2 linked regions of the Ovis aries genome follow. The protein of the gene in region 1 purifies or fractionates together with the protein of each later gene. This does not show direct contact. Links are inferred from orthologs where the notes say so. Each region holds a gene or a part of one and is shown on either strand. Other genes may lie near its edges.

Region 1 (4,300 bases):
CCCCACGAGGGCCTTGAATCTGTTCCTTTCTCTTCCTTGTGGGACCTACCTGTTCACATGCCCATCAAGAGTGGGAGCGCACCTTCTCTCCCCCCATTGCTGCTGCTGCTAAGTCGCTTCAGTCATGTGCGATTCTGTGCAGCCCCATAGACGGCAGCCCACCAGGCTCCCCCGTCCCTGGGATTCTCCAGGCAAGAACACTGGAGTGGGTTGCCATTTCCTTCTCCAATGCATGAAAGAGAAAAGTGAAAGTGAAGTCGCTCAGTCGTGTCTGACTCTTAGCGACCCCATGGACTGCGGCCCACCAGGCTCCTCCGTCCATGGGATTTTCCAGGCAAGAGTACTGGAGTGGGGTGCCATTGCCTTCTCCGCTCCCCCTACTAACAGTCACGAAACGTTGACTGCCTGCCAGGCGCTGCTCGGAGAGGGGAGGGACACAGCGGTAAACACATCCGCAAGCCCTGGCCCCCTCAGCGCCGGGTTTTACTCCGACAGCCTCCTGCCTGGTCCTGGGCCTCTAACTCTCAGCTTCCTGCCTTTGCCAGAAGGCTCTGACAGTGCAGGATGAAGCCTTGGCGCCGTATGTTGCACAGGTTCTCTGTTCCTCCAAACGCTAGACTCCACCTTCCTAGCCCCGGTTTCTTCCAAGGAGCCTTCGCACCATTTGTTCCTTCTGCCGGACATGCCCTTCTACTGCAGGCCTCAGCGGCAGGGTCAGCGCCTCGGAGGCGCGTTCCCTTCTGCACACTGTCTTCCACCCTGCCTTCTGCAGCCCGCTCGTTCTGGCTGCACTACCCGCTGCCTTGTCCTCCTGGTACAATTCCGCCGGCACAGAATCTGCGCCTGCAGCATCACCCCTCACGCCATGAGCGGTAACTGCACGAACCCATCCCCGCAACTGCCCTGCTCGCGAAGCCACCACCGCCCTACGGGTGCCCACGGCAAGCCGCCAGAGCGTGCAGCACCTGTGCACCCTTTCTCCAACCCCGCCGCCGGGCCGCCCGGGACCCTCCACGTAGCAGCCGGGTCGGGAGCCCAGCGACCTGGGACGCCACCAGGCCCGCAGCCCGCCCGGTGCGCATGCGCACGGAGAGGGGCGGGCCCGCGGCCGCCTTAACCCTCTCCGCGCCAGCCAGCAAACTGCTCTCACGAAGTAGCCCTCGCAGCCCCAGAGAGCTGCCAGCTTGATGGCCCCACGAGGCGTGCAGCCCGCCCGGGGGAGCCCCGGTCGACCCTCCAGAGTAAGCGCCCCGACGCGTCTCTTCCTAAACAGGCCTTGGCCCTTTAACACTCTCGCTCGCGCCCATTGGCCGAGGGGCTCGACGTCATCGCTGCGCGCCGGACGACCGCTCCTTCCCGCTCCCTAATCCTGACGCCAGAGCCGCGCCGCCCTCTGAGGCTGAGAAGAGCGGGAGGAGGTCGCGGCGGCGGGAAGATGTAAGTACCGGGAATCCGACCCCATCCGAGCTTTGGGACCCGCCCGCCATGTTCGGCGGGGCGCATCGTGGAGCCGGCCTGCTCCTTGGCCACGTGGTGGTGACGGTGGGGCCTGTGGCGTCGCTCCGGGTTTGAGAAGAAAGAATGTGGCCCGGGGCGGGCTGAGTGGGAGGCGCCGAAGCTGCGGCCCGGAAGTGGTCGGGGCCGCGGCGGGCGGAAGGGCGCCCTCGTTTCCTCGGCTCTGCAGCGGGACCAGTGAGGCCCGCGGGATTCGGAGCGGCCGGGAACTCGGCCTCCGCCGTCCGGGCCCTCTCACCGGGCTGGAAACCCAGGCCCGCAACGCCGGGCCCTGCCCTGGAAGCGCCCGCGGCCCGGCTCCTGGACTGGGGAGTTGTGAGTGAACGCGGACGCGGGGTGCTGAGGTCGCGTGCGGGGCCGGGGCCGGGGCCGGTGGGTACGAGATGCGTTTTGGGAGCCCCTGGGTGACCGACTGACCCTCCCTTTGAAGCCATTAATTTCAAACATCGACTCCACGAACGTCTGCGGGGTTCCTGTGTGTCGTTCCCGGTGCTAGCCCTTGGGGATACGGCCCCTAATGTCTTGGAGCCCAGTTTGACGGTAACCCCAAAAGAGAGGATACGGAAAGGTTAAATCGACGGAGCAGAGGCGTGGCCTTTTCCAATCTCTCATGAATTGTGCCTGAAATGTACTTGTAAATGGAGAAGGTGCTCCGAAGATGTGAGCTGAAACGCCATGTACGCGAGATATGACTAATTGTTCTCTCCTATTTTTGGCTGTTGGACGCGCACCTTTCCAGAGGATGGGGGAGGTAACCACGGTCCTGTTACCTGCACTTGTGTAAACATAATCAACCTTTGCTTTCTAGCCCTCTGGCCACACCCAGAAAAGCCTTCCTTTACTCTGGTCTTAATTGAGTTTTAAGAATAAACGCTGGTGCTTGTTTTCACAAACTACAAAGAGCAGATCTTTAGGACTGGGGTGGGGCCCTGGAATATGTATTCTAGGTCAGCTGTGTAATAAGGTAGCCTCTGGCCACACGTGGCTACTGAGTACTTGAAATGTACCTAGTTCAAATTGATGTGTTTAACACGCTTAGCATGGGGAAGCATGGATATTTTATTAATGATTTTGTATGCTGATTGGTGAAAAGATGATGTGTGGGGTGTAGTGTGTCAGATAAATACATTACTCAAAGTTAACTTCATCTGTTAACTAATGCTTTTTTGGAACGTTGCTCCAAGAAAATTTTAGAGTACTCTTGTAGCTGGCTCTCTTTCTATTGGACAGTGCTACTCTTGGTGATCGTAATGGGGGCAGTCCAGGGACCCCTGCTGATCATTCAGAGGCTGTGTGACTTAAGAGCCAAGAGTTTGCCTCAGAAAAGCCTCCAAAGCCTTTCTCCTAATATTAGCTAACATCTGTTGAGCCTTAACTAGGTCCCCAAGACTCTTTTATCGGTTACTTTTGTTTATATTCTTGACAGCTATGAAGTGTAGGAACTGTCTGTCTCTCCTTAATGCTGATGAGAAATTGAGGCTCGGAATGATTAAGGGATTGATACAAAGACACAACAAAGCTTTGAATCAGACCCCAAGCAGGGGAACTTCAGACTCGTAAGCACTGAATTATACTCACTATTTGTCCAAGCAAGCCCGCTACAATGTTGCTTAGTGTTACAGGCACCTTACTGAGTGTCTGTGGTGCCTTTTTTCTTTTTTAATTTTGGCTTATTTTTGTGTGTATGCCCTCTCATTTTAAGACATAATGTCTAAAAAGACTTTATAGCCCTGGAAAAGAACAGTGCACTCTTATTTGTTTGTCCACAGCTGGGCACTCTTTCTTGAGTCAGAAATTTATCCAGCATTTTGGCAGCACTGCGCACATGGAAACAGGATTCCGATTGGTGAGCTGTGTCCAGGTTACTTACAGGAAGGTGAGATAGGAGTAGTTGAGGCTAACATCCCGAGATCTTTGCTTCTACAACTCAAGCAAATTGCGCAAAACCTCACTGGAAATACTTAAAGGCAACAGCCCCAGGAAACAGAGCACATAATGAATTAATAGTTTGTTCTTGAGTAGTGTTTACTGATGACCTTTTACTGAGTACATGCTGCAGCTCTGGAACTTAGCTAAACCCTTACATGTGAATGCATCCATTTCCAAAAATGGGAGCATACAGAAAAGCTGAAAAAATTTAGTGCACCAAATAGTCACAGAACCACCACCTAGATTCTACAGGTTACATTTCTGTTATGTTTTGTCTCACTTTACTACTTTTTAAATGTTCATGGGGGACGTTTCATTTGTTTGGTTATTAAATGTTTTGATACTGGTACCAGTCACTTGAAATGGTTTTTGCTTCCAGTCATAATATCTATCCAATGTATCCTGCAAAGATTCCAGCAGTGAAGCGAGGTCGAATCCTGTCACTTAGGGTTTGCTCTGCCTGCCAATGTGCTCCTGTAGTGTCTCTAAAGGACTGTAGAGGGCTTACCGCAAAACTGGTGAGAAACGGGCATTGTACTACCTGTCAAAGAACAGGACCCCACCACCCACACCATTGCTTAAGAAAAAGACAAGCTGAGCCGACAGTTCTTCACGTGTCTCCTGTGGGGGCAGGATCCCCTGAGGAAATGGACCCTGCCCAAGTGTTCCTGGCTTGGTAGATGCACACTGCTGACTGTGTTCCTTGTTGCCTGCTCCTATGCTCAGCTTTTGACTGCAAAGTAGATTTGTTGCCTTGCCAATTTACTCTGTGAATCCTTTTATCTTGTTATTAGGCTGCACTTTGGCGTAAATTGCAATCGATTAGGGATCGTTTCTCAGACTCAAGTTAGACGTG
Region 2 (2,530 bases), on another chromosome or scaffold:
GCAGCTGGTTTTTCTAGCACCACTTATTGAAGAGGCTGTCTTTTCTCCATTGTATATTCTAGCCTCCTGACCATAAGTGTGTGCCTTTATTTCTGGACTCTTACTCTGTTTCATTGATTGATGTGTCTGTTTTTGTGCCTGTACCGTACTGTTTTGATTACTATAGCTTTGTAATATAGTCTGAAGCCAGGGAATGTGATTCCTCCAGCTCTTGGTTCTTTCTGTCAAGATTGTTTTGGCTATTCAAGGTTGTTTTTGTTTCTATACAAATTTTAAAATTGTTCTAATTCTGCAGGAAGTGCCATTGGTATTTTGATATGGATTGCATTGAATCTTTAGATTACCTTGGGTGGTGTAGTCATTTTAACAGTATTGGTACTTCCAGTCCAAGAACACAGCAAAGCTTTCCATCTGTTTGTATTGTAGAAGCAGGAGTTTTTAAAAAGTCAATTTAAAGAGAAGGAGGTATATCTTAAAAAGCTAATTGCTCAAAATAGGGATTGGATTAGGGGCATGATTTGCTGGACAACAGGAAGTCAGTTTGATCCCCGTTTCCTGATGGCTCAGTGGTAAAGAATCAGCCTGCAGTTCAGGAGAGGTGTGTTTGATCCCTGGGTCGGGAGATCCCCTGGAGAAGGAAATGGCAACCCACATCAGTATTCTTGCCTGGGAAATCCCATGGATAGAGGAGCCTGGTGGGTTTACAGTCCTTGGGGTTGCAAAAGAGTCAGACATAACTTGGCAACTAAACCACCACCACCATTAACTCTAGTTCTCGGTTCTCTGTTTTACCTGATGATTTAGAAGTAGTTTTGAATTTCATTAGCAACTGCCTTCCATAACACAACACATTAATCCTTTACATGTTCTGTCCTTTGAATCTAAAGCTGGTTCTTTGAATAATAATTTACTTCAGACTTGAATTAGCACCTTTGTTGATCAGTTTTTCCTTGAGCTTAACATTTCTGATGTTTTGATGACATCATGTCTTTAAGAATTGCTAGAAATTAGGGCTTTCCTAAGGGCATTAAAGGAAAGGCACATAGTTTACCCCCAAAAAGTTGCCGACTTTTATTACCCATTTGCTTCTTCAGCTCCAAACAATATTTGAAAATGGAGTTTTCTGTTTCTATTGGAGTTCCATTGTAGACATTTCTGGTATGATGTGCCTGCATTTTTTGAATAACACTGTATTTTAAAGTCTAGTTTGCACATTTGTTCTTCTAGAGAGAGACGACGACGAAGAAGCAGAAGTGGTACAAGATCTCCTAAAAAGCCTAGGTCTCCCAAAAGAAAATTGTCTCGTTCACCATCCCCTAGAAGGTAAGTATTAATCTTTTATTAGATCTATCCTGTTTTTCAGAAACTGTCCTAGGATTTTTCTTCCTTCTCAGGAATTAAAATACTTAAGAATGTGCTGATACATTCTCTTCATGACTTGAGATTGTTAAAATAAACACTGTTTATGATTAGGCATTTTAGACCTGTAATCTCCTTATAGCAGTGAACTTAACATCAAGCTTACCATCTAAAACAAATTTAAACTTATTGCTGTTTAAATAATGGCAAAAATTCTTGAGCACTTTGTTTCAAGCATCTTGTGAGCATTTTACTGTCATCCTAGACATAAAAAGGAGAAGAAGAAAGATAAAGACAAAGAAAGAAGCAGAGATGAAAGAGAGCGATCCACAAGCAAGAAGAAGAAAAGTAAAGATAAGGAAAAGGAACGGGAAAGAAAATCAGAGAGTGATAAAGATGTAAAAGTATGTTTACAAACTAATATATTCTGGTGTTTTAGTTGATGTTGGTACTTTAAAGAAGTAATTTTTCTGTGAAGACGTTTACTTTTCTTATTCTCCTTGGCAAAGCAGGTTACACGGGACTACGATGAAGAGGAACAGGGGTATGACAGCGAGAAGGAGAAAAAGGAGGAGAAGAAACCAGCAGAACCAGGTTCTCCTAAAACAAAAGAATGTTCTGTGGAAAAGGGAACTGGTGATTCACTAAGAGAATCTAAAGTGAATGGGGATGATCATCATGAAGAAGACATGGATATGAGTGACTGAACCATGCCTCTGTGGGAATCTAACTGTGTACATGCATCAGTGTCATTCCTGTGTGATTTCTTAATGCTGTATTTGTTCATCTCAAACCTAGATGTATACAGCTCTGAGTCATAAATGGTTATAAAGCTCCTGATGTTGATATTAGTTATTTACATCCAAAAGCTTTTAGGAAAATGATACAGGGGTAACCAATTCGTGACAGGGTGAAATCTGATTGAGTAACCAAGCAGTTTTACTATCCTGGTGCTGCTTCATAACAAAAATGAAAAGCTGCATGCATCTACAGCAGGCATGGATTGTTTATGTTGTATGATCTCCTTTATTAAGTAAGTTCACTTATAGTATTTCTAGAATTTGATTCATTGCCGTAATAGAGCCATGTAGGGAATGCACTGATTGCATGTTTATTGTGGCAGGAATATCCTAAATGTCATTAAAATCCTTCAACATGATGGATCTACTTA

The links. Proteins that work in one complex are often made in the same cells at the same time.
Region 2: the proteins of RNPS1 (region 1) and SRSF11 purify together in Homo sapiens (co-immunoprecipitation; 4 studies listed by BioGRID and IntAct, with this or other methods). This does not show direct contact. The link is inferred for Ovis aries from reciprocal best matches to the Homo sapiens genes RNPS1 and SRSF11.

The regions. Positions count from the first base shown.
Region 1 is NC_056077.1:2,304,515-2,308,814, reverse strand, and holds the start of RNPS1 (RNA-binding protein with serine-rich domain 1), read left to right. Parts: upstream 1-1,377; 5' UTR 1,378-1,435; coding exon of another isoform or gene 1,436-1,437; exon of another isoform or gene 1,438-1,830; intron 1,831-4,238; 5' UTR 4,239-4,300. UniProt on the Homo sapiens protein: Part of pre- and post-splicing multiprotein mRNP complexes. Auxiliary component of the splicing-dependent multiprotein exon junction complex (EJC) deposited at splice junction on mRNAs.
Region 2 is NC_056054.1:46,060,674-46,063,203, forward strand, and holds part of SRSF11 (serine/arginine-rich splicing factor 11), read left to right. Parts: intron 1-1,206; coding exon 1,207-1,323; intron 1,324-1,624; coding exon 1,625-1,763; intron 1,764-1,868; coding exon 1,869-2,066; 3' UTR 2,067-2,530. UniProt on the Homo sapiens protein: May function in pre-mRNA splicing.